Struthio camelus: one gene and its partner. The protein of the gene in region 1 interacts with the protein of each later gene in a pairwise test. Links are inferred from orthologs where the notes say so. Each region holds a gene or a part of one and is shown on either strand. Other genes may lie near its edges.

Evidence for each region.
Region 2: the proteins of SGTA (region 1) and FXYD7 interact in binary tests that used the Homo sapiens proteins (3 or more experiments, as listed by UniProt). The two-hybrid records come from large-scale screens. The link is inferred for Struthio camelus from reciprocal best matches to the Homo sapiens genes SGTA and FXYD7.

Annotation. Positions count from the first base shown.
Region 1 is NC_090967.1:6,823,905-6,831,269, reverse strand, and holds the start of SGTA (small glutamine-rich tetratricopeptide repeat-containing protein alpha), read left to right. Parts: upstream 1-4,316; 5' UTR 4,317-4,438; exon of another isoform or gene 4,439-4,553; intron 4,554-5,748; 5' UTR 5,749-5,797; coding exon 5,798-5,897; intron 5,898-7,365. Other genes in the region: THOP1 (thimet oligopeptidase), read right to left, coding at 159-266, 775-923, 2,370-2,573, 3,789-3,804. UniProt on the Homo sapiens protein: Co-chaperone that binds misfolded and hydrophobic patches-containing client proteins in the cytosol. Mediates their targeting to the endoplasmic reticulum but also regulates their sorting to the proteasome when targeting fails.
Region 2 is NC_090974.1:305,470-312,722, forward strand, and holds the start of FXYD7 (FXYD domain-containing ion transport regulator 7), read left to right. Parts: upstream 1-4,212; 5' UTR 4,213-4,612; exon of another isoform or gene 4,613-4,664; 5' UTR 4,665-4,780; coding exon 4,781-4,811; intron 4,812-7,253. Other genes in the region: FXYD1 (phospholemman), read left to right, coding at 162-211, 839-861. UniProt on the Homo sapiens protein: Associates with and regulates the activity of the sodium/potassium-transporting ATPase (NKA) which catalyzes the hydrolysis of ATP coupled with the exchange of Na(+) and K(+) ions across the plasma membrane.

The DNA of each region.
Region 1 (7,365 bases):
AAGGGAAGAGAGGTGTCACCCAACTTGCCCAGGGTCACATGAATCAGGAAGAAAATTTAGGAGTCTGAGCCTCAGGCCTCTGCTCAAACCACTAGACTGTCCCGCTAGCCCTGCAAGGCCTCCTCTACAGGTGCTTATTTTAAGCTTTTTGGTCTCACCTCCTGCGTTTCCTCAGGGAGATGAAGACCATTTCTTTTACCCAATTTGATCAGCCTCTCTAGATATCTCTTTGCTTCAGGTTTCAGTGAAGCACTCTCTGATTTCTCCTGTAAAACAAAATCCGTGAGCACAGGGAATCAAAGGAACAGGTATTCACTCAGCTGCTGTATCTGCTCCTGGAGGAAGGCTGTGGGTTATTGTAATAATGGTAACCCAGAAGCAGGTGGAAACACCCCACGAGAAGGCTTCGGTTTAATGTGTTAGTTCCTATCAGGAATCTGCTTTAAACATCTCACCTCTATGCCGTGTCAGAGCACTTTTCAGGGCATTACCCAGCCCTTCCCTGAAGGAGGCAGGTCAGGGTTACTAATACCATTTTACTAAAGAGGTGATCAAGGCCCTGAGGGAGGTCAGAACCTTCAAATCCCAATTGCCCAGTTCTCACTCTAACAATTGGACCATACTGCCTACAGAGTTCATTTAATACCATTCAATTCTAAGTTCTGGGACAAGAGAAAAGGGTTTCTTGTAATTCCAAGAGGTTTCTGTTCTGTGCTCAGATGCTGAGCCTTTTTCACACCCAGTCGGACACCGAGCATCCTCCCAAGCACATACCTGGAGCCAGACAATCCGCTGGTACACATCCTGCCTCATGCTCATCTCCACGTCGAACTCTGAGAGCTTCTTGTCAGCCTCGGTGCTTGCTGCACGGATGTCTTTACAAGGAGACACGTGCTGGGGGAAGTCCAGCATGTTCCTACGGACTGAAAAGACCGTGGGTTATGGCAAAGGCAACAGCTTTGTGTCCCACAACTGCTCAGGAGTGGGAGCACACGTGGAGAGTCTGTGTTAGTTGGGAGGCAGCCTGATAGCCCTGGAGCCTGATCTACAGCCTGCACAAAGGGAGAGCAAGGCAAACTGCTGCCAACAGACAGACCCAGAGGCGTCACCCCTAGGGCAGCATCCAGTCACCCACAGCACCCCTTCATTCCTTGCTTGCTGCTGAGCCTACTGACCAGATCTGTCCACTGCTTTCCCACTACAATCTCTCTCACAAAACTTGCAGGAATTTCAAGCTTGTGAGATCTCAACTCTTTTGTCAGCTATAGCCGATACCAACAGTTTGAAGAGTCTCACAAAGGGAACAGATGTCTATACTTGCAGACGCAGGCAGCGTCGTTGCCTGTCTCCTTCCCTCAGGAAACCAGGCTAAAAGTGACACAACTTCAGTGCAGATGCTTCTCAAAAGCTACCACGTACGCAGTCTGCTCTTTCCCGACTTATTTTCAAACTTATTTCCATTTTAGAAGTGAATATAGGGAGAATATTTCCTGCCACTGTCTTTGCAAAATCTCAAACCACAGTCCAGCAGGAAAATACTGCTCTCCAGGCAAGCGGATTCCCCACCCAGCAGAAGGTGAGCACACAGCTACTCTCTGCTGCCCACAGAAAGTGCTGACAGTTCTGCTGAAGTTAACATTATCCTGCTTAGCAAGTGCCTTATTTTTTTTTTTTTTTAAGAGAAAAGAAACCAGATAGAAGAAAAAGGAAGCTTGCACACTTGCTTCTATTCTAGACAGATGTAATCACCTCGCAATACAGAGTTAGAAGAGCCAATAGATGTCATGAGGCAGGCGGGGGGTGGGGGTTGCATGACTTTGGCACTCTAGTGCTGTAAATAATTAGCCTGAGATATATTGAAGCCTGCATTATTTGCCAGCATGATGCCATCACATCATGTTACTTTACACCTAATCTCTAAAACTAGTACACTGTTTAAATAGACGAGATAGAGATACCTTTATCCATGCAGAGAAGAAAAAGAGCTGAAGAGTTCTTATATCACCCAAACCGTGTCTGCCAATGCACAATTTACTCCTGCTAAAGGCACCTTGGCATAAAAAAGTATGAGACAACCTTGAAAACCTTGTTACTCTTTCCAGAGACCACCCCATTGCCAAAGCAATAGCACTGCCAAAGCTCTGTCCTCATGTTCTACTTACACTTCTGTTCCAAAACTACTCCTTTCTTTGTGTTTGTATCTAGCTCTACAAATATTAACTGGAAAAAAAAAAACATAGTGCTGAGGGAGCCAAAGGAAAAAAAAAAAAAAGGAGATGACAGTACAGAGCAGAGAAGCAGAGACAAAAAAAAAAAATTCATAACCTGTAGACTTCCAGAAAGCAAGTACTCCCTCTGTGTCTACCTACCTGTATATTCCACTTCCACATCAGCCAGCGCCTTGAGAGTATTTTCGTAGGACACTTCTCCCTGTTCCTGGGAGCCCACCCGGTCATACACAAGCTTGGTCCTCTCTGTGAGCTCCACAGCCATGTTTTCTATCTGTTCGGCGGTCAGGTCCCATCTTAGCTGATTTGCTAATAGCCTGGGGGACTGGCTGTCCACAACGTTACCTGGGTAAGTAGGAAGGAAACCCATGCATGAAGAGTTACATGTCCCTCCCTTACATGAGCTGGAAGGAAAATTCAGGTGCATATCTAAAGCTCGATAAGAAAAGCACTTAAAGGAGAGGCCCAGCAAATGAACTATGCGTACGGGCAAACGGGCTCCTGAGGGACCCGAGTGCTGGATCCAAACGGCAGCCGGATTATTTTCCAGGCGCTGTTTACCCTCTCAGTTATGACAAGCCCTTCACAGAAACCTGACTCCCTCCCTGCTCCCTCACCCGTTGCGCCTCTGGCAGGTGCATCTGGCCACAGAAGCAAGGGTGGCTGTCACAGCCCGGGCACAAGCCTCGGGCTCTGCTTGGGAAGGGGGCTACGCAGGAGAGAGGTGACAGCTGGGGCCGGGGGAAGACCACAGCCCCCTCGCAAAGCTGTTGTGGGGCTCCTTCCCTCTTGCTCCCTATGCAATCACTGTCCCCCTTGTCCCCTGCCCCACATGCAAGCCCTCAGCAATCCTCTGCTATTCCAACCCCTTGTTCTTGTCCCAGGCCTCTCATCCCGGCCCTCCCCGCTGTCCCAGCCCCTCTCCCGGACCCCCCCCACCCCCTCCCCGCTGTCCCAGCCCCTCTCCCGGACCCCCCCCACCCCCTCCCCGCTGTCCCAGCCCCTCTCCCGGACCCCCCCCACCCCCTCCCCGCTGTCCCAGCCCCTCTCCCGGACCCCCCCCACCCCCTTCCCGCTGTCCCAGCCCCTCTCCCGGACCCCCCCGTCCCCTCCCCGCTGTCCCAGCCCCTCTCCCGGACCCCCCCCGTCCCCTCCCCGCTGTCCCAGCCCCTCTCCCGGACCCCCCCGTCCCCTCCTCGCTGTCCCAGCCCCTCTCCCGGACCCCCCCGTCCCCTCCCCGCTGTCCCAGCCCCTCTCCCGGACCCTCCCGTCCCCTCCCCGCTGTCCCAGCCCCTCTCCCGGACCCCCCCATCCCCTCCCCGCTGTCCCAGCTCCTCTCCCGGCCCTCTCAGCCCCTCCCCGCTGTCCCAGCTCCTCTCCCGGCCCCCTCAGCCCCTCCCCGCTGTCCTAGCCCCTCTCACGGCCCCCTCAGCCCCTCCCCGCTGTCCTAGCCCCTCTCACCCCTCCCTTGCTGCCTCTCGCCCCACCTCCCACCCAGCTCCCCTCTCGGCCCCCTTCACGGGCCCCCTCCCCGCGCCCAGACTCCCCCGGAACCGGTACCTGTCGGGGGAGCCATGCCGGGGCCGCCGGGAGGCCCCGCTCCTGCTGACGAGGCGCGATGAGACCGCGCCGGCCCCACGCACGAAGCATATGCCCAACCATAGAGACGGGGGAGAGAGCGGCCGCGCCGAGGGATTGTGGGAGTGGAGGACTCGGCCGCTCTCCCCTTGCCTTCACCCTATCGAGGCGACGGAGGCGGACGAGCCACCCCTCCGAGCCGGGGCTGGGTCCCGGCCGCGGCGCTCAGGCCCCGCGGTGCGGCGGCAGACGGCAGGCGGCGGCCGGGAGCGGAGCCCCGCGGCGAGCGGGCGCAGCCCGGGGTGGGCCCGGGCCCTGCCGGCGAGGCGCGCCCCCGCCGTCTCCATGGCGACGCGCCCCCTCCCTCTCTATGGTAACGAGCAGGGAGGAGCGACTGCTGCACTTCCGGCCTCTCTGCCCTCTCCCAGCGGCCTCAGGAGCGGGGCTGACTGCGCATGCGTCACCCCCGCCACAGCCGCGCAGGGCTGCGGCGGGTTGGGGGCGGGCGGTGCCTCGCGGCGGCGCACGCGCGCCGGGCGGCAGGAAGCGCGTGCGCAGTGGGCGGGCGGCAGCGCGCACGCGCAGTGGGCGGGGCGGCGCGCGTGCGTAGTGCTGCGCCCGCCCCGGCTGAGGCGAGTGTCGGGGCGCCCGGTGAGAGGGGCGGGGGCGCCGGTACCGGGGCCGGGTTGGGCCCTACGGGAGGCTACGCCGCGCTCCCTGTCCAGCGCTGGTTCGGCCCCCGTCTCGGTAGGGGGCAGCGGCCGGGGGCGCGGTGAGGCCTGGCGTTTCCCGCGCCCGGGGCAGCCGGTGGGGCCGGGCCAGGCCAGGCCAGGCCAGGCCGGTGCGCGGGGGGCTCCCCGGCCGCCGCAGGCCCCGGGCGGCGGGCGGACTCTGCCGCTGCTCCCGTCTCTCCCTAAAGCGCCATTTATTGACCGGGCCCTGGGGCTGCCCGCTAGCGAGCGGCCCGGCGGCGGTGGGCCGGGCCCCGGTGGGTCTCGGTGCCCTTTGGGGAGAGCCGCGGCCCGCACCGGGCTGAGGGGCCCTCGGGGTCTGGGGGAGGAGAGGCGCCTTCCTCTCCCCTGCCTGCTGCTGGCAGCCCCCCCGGTGCCTGTTCGGGTTTGTGGCCCCTGGCCTCGCTTGGCGGCGGGGCTGGGAGCTTGGTGCTGCCGTTCCCCAGAGGGACCTGCTACTACCGCTGGGGCTTTTCATTGGTTTGGGGCCGGGGCAGTTCTCCTGGGTTTGCTTTTCACATTTAAACAATTCAGTTCGTCAGCTAAATGACCCTAATGGCTTTTCTGTGCTATAAACCTAGCTAAGTGTTCTGGAAAGGCAGAGCAGCTTAGCTCAGCAGCAATGCCAGGCAAACGCACCTACCTGTTCTTTTCAGAACATGCACGTGGATCTCTGCAAAACCCCTACCTCAGGGTATGCTTGTGGGGCTTGCCTTGCTACGTGTCCTCGTTTTCTGTTGTGGCCTACTTCACTGAGTTGTAGGGGAACTTGATCTTCTGAGCAGGGTAGGCAGCAAACTGGGCAGAGGATTGATAGCCCTGAACCCTGGCTCTGCTAACATTGGCAAGTTGCTTCAGCTGTTGTCTTTGCTTCAGAACCAGATCATGCTTTGGAAGAGGAAGGCTGGGGTTTTATTAGTGATGAGCTCCTCAGTGCTCACTTTGTCTAGACTTGTGACAAAGTCTAGCCTATGTTCTTGTAACACCTGTAATGTTCTTTCCTGGGCAGTAGCCTCGTGGGCAGGGTAGTGCTGTACTGCTCCCTTTGAAGAGGGTGAACTGAGGCCCGGAGGCAGTTAATGCGAAGGAGTCTTTGTTAAAGAGTTTAATGAAGGCTCCAGAGGCCTTAGCCAGTTCCCAAGCATTCGCTTACCTTTTCCCTTCATCCTGGGAAAGAGAAACTTTGACTTCCTGACCATGTTTCTCTGCAGACTTTTTAAGTTACAAGAAGTCAGAGCAGACTGATCACAGCCTCCTAGAATGGCAGACCAGAAGCGCCTTGCCTACTCCATCATCCAGTTTTTACATGACCAGCTACAGAATGGGGGTCTTTCTCCAGATGCTCAGGAGAGTTTGGAAGGTAGGTGGCTATATACACTCCTCTGCATGTGCTTCTAGGTCTGTCAGTCCAACACTTGTGGAAATGTGGACTCTTGGTTACTATCATCTACTTGTTCCTTAGCTGGACTGTTACTAACATCAAAGATTGTTCAAGATTTGAAATTAATCTTATCCCATTGGAAGACATCCAGGGAGTCAGGAGGCTCATTGTTTATCTGATTTCTTGTTATCTCTTTCAAGAATAGATTAGCTTGAGGAAGGGATATACCTCAGGATCAAAAGCCTCCCTGATCCTGGGACTGAGACTTACCAAGTTTTATCTTGAATGAGGTGAGGTCAGGAGGCTCACAGCACATGAAAATGTTTTACACTTGCAGAGTGCTTTTCCTGTTCTGCTATCAAAATGTTTTTCCAGCACACTCTGGAGTATTTATACAGGCCTTTTCAGAGAGCTTTACTAGAAATGAAAGCACGTTGATCTTAAAAGATCTACTTAAGGAGCTTATACTTTATACAGTCTTTGGCCTGTACATTTGTCCCACTGACAGAGCACAGGCACGTCTGTGGAAAGGGGTAGGTACATTCCTGGGCGAGGCAGGAATGGAGAGCGGGAGCAAGGAGGGTGTTGGGTGGGAAGGAGGAGTTTATTTCTGGTGCTTGTGGACTGTAAAACGTGGCACGAGATTTGTAAAACTGGGCTCTGTTACGTTGCTGGGGTTCCCATGCTGGGAGCGCCTTTCTAACCAGGTGCTGGCAGAGGGGGTGGTGGCTGCGGCCAGAGCCTTGTTTGAGTGTCCTTGCACCTCTGCCTGGCCGCAGCCCTTTTAACAGAGCAGCCACCTTGTGGCAAGTGACTACAGGACCTGCTGACAAGTCACTTGCTTCCAGTGTTTTGTTAAAGATGCAGATCTCTCCTTGCTCTGTGCTATCTGCAGCTGCAGGAATGCTATGAAAGCCCCATTCTTGCTTGCTGCCAGTTCTGTTAACTTCTACCCACCAACACCTGCCCTGAGTCACCTACGGGGACGGGAGTTGTGACCGACCTGTTCTAGGAGGTTGCCCTCCAGAGCCAATGTTTGCACCGCTCTATTGAGTTTTTGGCAACTCATGACATGTATTGTGGCATGCTGCTTCAGCTGGATAACAATCATTCAAGCACCTCTCCGCAGTGGGAACCAGAGGGGCTGTGAAGTCACTGAACCTCTCCGGTCAGTATGTGAAGACCACAGTGGGAGACTTCAGTTGCTTTCTGGTGCTGAACTTAATGTAAGGAAAAGACGTGTTACAGCTCAGATGCAGTAGATCTGCACTCAGTTTTTAGCCCTGCTGCAACTTCCCTCTCTGCTCTTGGGACAGATGCTTGGAGAGCTTTACTAAAACAAGCTGACGTCCCTATAAAAACATACCCTCGTTTACCTGTGCTCGCGTACAGCCAGAGGCAACCTGCAGTCCCAGACACTCGCAGAGGGCTGCAGAGGAAGATCTGA
Region 2 (7,253 bases), on another chromosome or scaffold:
AATTGGGGGGGCACTGGGGCAACTGGGAGGCACTGGGAGGGCACTGGGGGCACTGGGAGGGCAATTGGGGGGGCACTGGGGCAACTGGGAGGCACTGGGAGGTAACTTGGGGGGCAACTGGGAGTAACTGGGAGTAACTGGGGTGGCGCCGGCTGTTGCAGGACGGGGGAACCCGACGAGGAGGAGGGAGCCCTGCGCCAGTCCATCCGCCGTGAGCGCCCTGGGTCCCTTTGGGTGGGGGTCACCCGGACGCCTGGGCCCCTTGGGGGAAGCACCCGGACACCTGGGCCCCTTGTGGGTGGGGGCCACCCGGACACCTGGGTCCCTTGTGGGGGCACCCGGACGCCTGGGCCCCTTGTGGGTGGGGGCCACCTGGACAACTGGGTCCCTTGTGGGGGGGGCACCCGGACACCTGGGCCCCTTGCGGGAAGCACCCGGACACCTGGGCCCCTTTGGGTGGGAGCCACCCGGATGCCTGGGCCCCTTGCGGGAAGCACCCGGACGCCTGGGCCCCTTTGGGTGGGGGTCACCCGGACGCCTGGGCCCCTTTGGGGGCACCCGGACGCCTGGGCCCCTTGGAAGGGGGAGACACCCGGACGCCTGGGCCCCTTTGGGGTGGGGGGACCCGGACGCCTGGGCCCCTTTGGGGTCACACTCAGACGCCTGGGCCCCTTTGGCATCACACCCGGACGCCTGGGCCCTTTGTGGGTGGTGGCACCCGGACGCCTGGGCCCCTTTGGGGTGGGGGGACCCGGATGCCTGGGCCCCTTGTTGGGGGGGGGGCGGCGTTAACCCGGACGCCTGGGCCCCCCCCGTTCACCCTTTCCCACCTGGGCAGGTTTGTCCACCCGGATGAGATAGAGCGGCGGCAGGGGGTGAGTCGGCACCCGGACGCCTGGGCCCCCGGGACGCCTGGGCTCCCCGGGCGCGGCGGGAGCCCGGTCAGGGGGCGCCCGGACGCCTGGGTCCCTTCCCCATTGTGACCCCCCCTCCCACCCCCTTTCTTGCAGGTGACCCCCCCCCACGGCAGGGACAGCCGCAACACCCGCCCGCGCCTGTGCACGCCGTGACAGTCGCACAGGCACCACCGCCTGTCCCTGCTGCCCCCTCCCCCCCGGCCCCAGCCAATAAACGCTGCCACCGCCGCCCGTGGCTGTTGCTGGTGTGGGGTGTGCGGTGTCAGGTGGAGGGGGTTGAGGTGTTGGGAGCCAGGTTTGGGGGTTCGTGTGTTGTGTCAGGTGTTTTTTTTTGCCTGGGGTGTCTCTCCTTTTTTTGGAGGAGGGTGTTGCCTGGTGGTGGTTGTTGCGTTGACGGGTGTTCTGGCGGGTGGGATGGCACGGTGCTGGGTGTTGTTTTGCCAGTTGGAGGGGGGGGTGGTTGGGTGTCTCTTTTGTTGTGTGTTGCCCGTTGGGGTGTTGCGGCTCAAGGGTTGGGGAGTCGTTCTGTTGTGTCGGGGTGTTGTGGGCGCTGTGTGGGCGGTGGTTGCGCTACCAGGTGTTGGGCGTTGGGTGTTGTGTTGGGGTGGCCGGCATCGGGTGCCGTTTCGTCAGTCGTGGGGTGTTGTGGGTTGGGCGTTGCGGTGTTGGGGGGTGTCCAGCAGCTGATTGTCACATTGCTGGGGGTGTTGTGGTGGCGAGGTGTCATGGCATTGTTTTGTGTGTTGGGTGTAACCTACTGGGTGTTGTTGTATCAGGGTAGTCACGGTGTAGCGTCGCTTCCCTGGTTGTGCTGTGGGTCGGGTGTTGCTGGGGGGGCGGTGGTTTGTCTGTCAAAGTGCCGGGTGGCATTTTGCTGGTTGTGGGGTGTTGTGCACCAGGTGTTGTGGTGTTACGGGTGTCGTGGCGTCAGTAGCGGCGTTGCTGGGTGTTGTGGCATTGGGTTGTTACGCTGCCGGGTGTCGCTTTGTTGGTTGTCTGGGGTTGGGGGTCAGGCGTTGCCCTGTCGGGGGTGTCACATCGGTGGCTGTTGCATCACCAAGTGTTATGCGTTGTTGTGCTGGGGTGTTGGGGTGCTGGGTGTTGTTTTGCTGGTCGGGTTGTGGGTCATGTGTTGCGGTGTTGGGGGGGGTGTCATGTGGCGGGTTGTGGCATTGCCAGGTGTTGGGTGTAGCTGTATTAGTGTGTTGTGGGGCCAGGTTCGGTTGTGGGGGGTTGCGGCATTGGCAGTATCGTGGGGGCTGGTTGTCGCATCGCCAGGTGTTGTGCGGTGGGGTGTCACGGCACCGGGTGTCGCTTGTCGGTGGTGTTGCGGTTCGGGTGTTGCTGTGCTGGGGGTTTCTCAGCCCCAAGTATCGATTTGTTGGCTATGGGGTGTTGGGGGTTGGGTGTCACGGTGTTGGGGGTGTGTGATGCTGGGTGTTGTTGGACTTGGGTCAGCTGTTGCCGGGTTGGAGGTACCAAGGGGCCAGTTGTGCAACTGCTGGGTGTTGCAGTGTTCAGGTGTTGTGGTGCTGGCTGTCACGTCGACTGCGGGGTGTTGCAGGTTGGCTGTCGCTGCATAGGGGTTGTTGCAGGGGTGGGTTGCGGTGATGCCAGCTGTAGCATTGCTGGGTGCCCTTTCGTTGTGCGCCGGGTGTTGTGCACCGCCTGCCGTTGTACTGGGGGTATCTTGGTCCCAGGTGCCGCTTTGTCACTTGAACGGTGTTGTGGGTCGGGTGTTGCGGTGTCCAGGACACCGTTTTGTTGGATGCAGGGTGTTGGCGGGGGTGTCACGTTGCTGGGTGTTGTGGTGTTGGGTTGTTGCAGTGTTGCAGGCGGTGTTTCGCTGGTTGTGGGGTGCCGTGGGCCAGGTGTCACCGTCATGGGGTGTCACAGCGTCATCTTGTTGCAAGACAGGATGCTGTGGGTCAGCCGGGTGTTGCCGGTCTAGTTGTGGCGTGGCCGGGTGTTGCAGTGTTGGGGTGATGTGCTGCCGGGTGTGGTTCTGTTGCATGTGGGGTGTTGTGGGTCGGGTGTTGCAGTGCCGGGTGTCGTTTTGGTGCCTGTGGGGCATTGTGGGCCAGGTGTTGGGTTGTCGGAGGTGTTTGTTTTGCTGTGTGTGTATGTTGGGGGGGGGTGTTGTGGTTCAGGTGTCGCCGTGCTGGCTGTCACGCTGCCGGGTGTCACACTGTTGCGGCGTTGGGGTGTCAGGGGGGTGTCATTTTACCGCGTGGGGGGGTTTGGGGCTGTTGCCCTGCCGGGTGTTGTAGTGCCAGCTGCTGCTTTGCGACGGTGCCAGGTGTTGCAGTGTCGGGTGTCGCATTGCCGGGTGTCGCGGTGCCAGCTGGCGTGCGGTTGTGCTGCCCCAGGTTCGTGGCGCCAGGTGTAGCGGCGCCAGCTGTCCTGCTGCCAGGGGTTGCGGTGCCGGCTGTTGCTCTGCTGGGGCGCCAGGTGTTGCGGCGCCGGGTGTCGCAGGTCAGGTGTTGCGGCGCCGGGGTGGGGTGGTGTCGGGTGTCGCAGTGCCGGGTGTTGCGGCGCCGGGGTGGGGCGGTGCCGGCTGTTGCGCCGTCACGCTGTTGCGCTGCCAAAGGCGGTGTCAGCGCCGGGATACCGGGTTGAGGTGGGGGGGGGTCCCTCGATTGGGGGGGGGGCTTCCCCGGACGCCTGGGCCCCTCCGACCCCCCCCCAGACACGTGAGTCCCTCTGACCCCCCCCCCCCGGGCGCCTGGGCCCCTCTGACCCCCCCCCTTCCCCGGACGCCTGGGCCCCTCTGACCCCCCCCGGACGCCTGGGCCCCTCCGACCCCCCCCCAGACACGTGAGTCCCTCTGACCCCCCCCCGGGTGCCTGGGCCCCTCCGACCCCCCCCAGACACGTGAGTCCCTCTGACCCCCCCCCGGATGCCTGGGCCCCTCTGACCCCCCCCCGGGCGCCTGGGCCCCTCCGACCCCCCCCCCTTCCCCGGACGCCTGGGCCCCTCCGATCCCCCCCCGGACTCCTGGGTCCCTCTGACCCCCCCCCCCGGATGCCTGGGCCCCTCTGACCCCCCCCGGACACCTGGGCCCCTCCGAGCCCCCCACCCCCAGATGCCTGGGCCCCTCCGACCCCCCCCCGGACACCTGGGCCCCTCCGAGCCCCCCCGGACACCTGGGCCCCTCCGACCCCCCCCACCCCCGGATGCCTGGGCCCCTCCAACCCCCCCCCCTTTCCCCCCCCCCACCCCGGACTCCTGGGCCCAGTGGGCGGGCCTCGCCTGGCTCCGCCCCCCCCTCGGCCGTTCCCGCCCCCCCCCCCCCTCGGTTAGTGCCGCAGCCGCAGAGCCGGTACCGGCTTGATCCGACCCGGTTGTGAGAGGAGCCGGAGAGGAACCGAACCGGCCCCGAACCGGCTCCGAACCGACTCGAACCGGCTCGGAACCGGCCCGAACCGGCCTGAAGAGGAGCCGAACCGGCCCCGAACCGACCAGAACCGGCCCGAACCGGCCTGAAGAGGAGCCGAACCGGCCCCGAACCGACCAGAACCGGCTCGAACCGGAACCGAACCGACCCCGAACCGGCTCCGAGCGGACCCGAAGGCAGCCAGGGCGGGAGGTGGGGGGGGCAGAGACCCGAACGGACCCGAACCGGCTCCGGAAAGACCCGAAGGGACCCGAAAAGACCCGAAGGGACCCGAAAAGACCCGAAGGGACCCGAACCGGCTCCGGAAAGACCCGAACCGGCCCGAAGGGACCCGAACCGGCTCCGGAAAGACCCGAAGGGACCCGAACCGGCCCGAAGGGACCCGAACCGGCTCCGGAAAGACCCGAACCGGCTCCGGAAAGACCCGAACCGACCCGAAGGGACCCGAACCGGCCCCGACCCGGCCATGGCCACCCCGACGGAGGCTGCCCAGCGCGGTGAGGGAGCGGTGCCTGCCCCCCCCTCCGCCCCCCCCCCCAAAATTGGAGGACTTCCCCCCCCTCGCCCCCCAACCAGGCAGCTCGGGGACCCTTCCCCAAATGGAGGGACCCCCTTCAGCTCCGCTAAGGAGGTTCCGGACCCCCCAAAATGGCGCCCTAGAGGAAGAGAGGTGGGGGGGGGGGTCACCGGCACCCCAAAATGGCGGCCTGGAGAGGAGGGGGGGTTTCCCCTGTGCCCCCCCCCAATTTTAGCACCCCCGGATGGGCAGCCGGCACCCCCCTCCCCTCCTCCGCGCGAGGCACTCAGCACCCAGGGGACACCCATCCTTCCTGCTCCCCCCCCACCCCCAAACTCAGCCCTGGCCATCATTCCGCTCCAGAGTTAACAGTGCTGCAGAGCCTAGGATGGTGGGGAGGAGCAACCAGGGGAGCCCCCCCCTCCTCTTCCTCAACCCAAAACCAGGCTTTAGGGGAGCCCCCACCCTTCTCCCCCCGCAAAACTCAGCCCTGGCCGTCATTCCGCTCCAGAGTGAACAGTGCTGCAGAGCCTGGCACGAGGTGGGGGAGTGGGGGGGGAGCACCCATGGACCCCCCACTTCCCACCCACACCCCGAAACCAGCCTTTAGGGGAGCCCCCACCCTTCTGCTCCCTCCCGAAGCTCAGCCCTGGCCATCATTCCGCTCCAGAGTGAATGGTGCTGCAGAGCCTGGGGTGGGGGTGGCAGCACCCAGGGGACCCCCCTTCCTCAACCGCACCTCAAACCCAGGCTTTAGGGGAGCCCCCACCCTTCTGCCTCCCCAAACTCAGCCCTGGCCGTCATTCTGCTCCAGAGTGAACGGTGCTGCAGAGCCTGGGGTGGGGGTGGCAGCACCCAGGGGACCCCCCTTCCTCAACCGCACCTCAAACCCAGGCTTTAGGGGAGCCCCCACCCTTCTGCCTCCCCAAACTCAGCCCTGGCTGTCATTCCGCTCCAGAGTGAACGGCGCCGCAGAGCCTGGGGTGGGGGCGGCAGCACTCAGGGGACCCCCCTTCCTCACCCGCACCTCCAATCCAGGCTTTAGGGGAGCCCCCACCCTTCTGCCTCCCCAAACTCAGCCCTGGCCATCATTCCACTCCAGAGTGAACGGTGCTGCAGAGCCTGGCACGAGGTGGGGGAGTGGGGGGGGAGCACCCAGGGACCCCTCCCCTCACCTGCACCCCAAAACCAGGCTTTAGGGGAGCCCCCACCTTTGCTCAGCACCCCCCCCCCAAAATTCAGCCCTGGTTGTCATTCCACTCCAGAGTGAACGGTGCTGGAGAGCCTGGCGTGAGGTGGGGGAGTAAGTGGGGGGGAGCAGACAGGATCCCCCACCCACCCAAAAACTGGCCTTTAGGGGAGCCCCCACCCTTCCGTTCCCCCCTCCAAACTCAGCCCTGGCCATCATTCCGCTCCAGAGTGAACGGTGCTGCAGAGCCTGGCACGAGGTGGGGGAGTGGGGGGGGAGCACCCAGGGACCCCCCACTCCCCACCCACAACCCAAAACCAGGCTTGAGGGGAGCCCCCACCCTTCTGTTCCCTGCAAACTCAGCCCTGGCCGTCATTCCGCTCTAGAGTGAACGGTGCCGCAGAGCCTGGGGTGGGGGAGGCAGCACTCAGGGGACCCCCCTTCCTCACCCGCACCTCAAATCCAGGCTTTAGGGGAGCCCCCACCCTTCTGCCTCCCCAAACTCAGCCCTGGCCATCATTCCGCTCCAGAGTGAACGGTGCTGCAGAGCCTGGCACGAGGTGGGGGAGTGGGGTAGTGGGGGAGGCAGCCAGGGACCCCTCCCCTCACCTGCACCCCAAAACCAGGCTTTAGGGGAGCCCCCACCCTTCTGTTCCCTGCAAACAGCCCTGGTTGTCATTCCGCTCCAGAGTGAACGGTGCCGCAGAGCCTGGGGTGGGGGCGGCAGCACTCAGGGGACCCCCATTCCTCACCCGCACCTCAAATCCAGGCTTTAGGGGAGCCGCCACCCTTCTATCCCCCCAAACTTAGCCCTGGCCGTCATTCCGCTCCAGAGTGAACGGTGCTGCAGAGCCTGGCACGGGGGGGGGGGGTGGGGGGGGAGCACCCAGGGACCCCCCCCTCCTCACCCGCACCCCAAAACCAGGCTTTAGGGGAGCCCCCACCCTTCTACCCCCGCAAAACTCAGCCCTGGTTGTCATTCCACTCCAGAGTGAACGGTGCCGCAGAGCCTGGCACGAGGTGGGGGAGTGGGGAGGGGCACCCAGGGACCCCCCCCCTCACCTGCACCCCAAAACCAGGCTTTAGGGGAGCCCCCACCCTTCTCCCCCCGCAAAACTCAGCCCTGGCCATCATTCCGCTCCAGAGTGAACGGTGCTGCAGAGCCTGGGGTGGGGGCGGCAGCACTCAGGGAACCCCCCCCTCCTCACCCGCACCTCAAATCCAGGCTTCAGG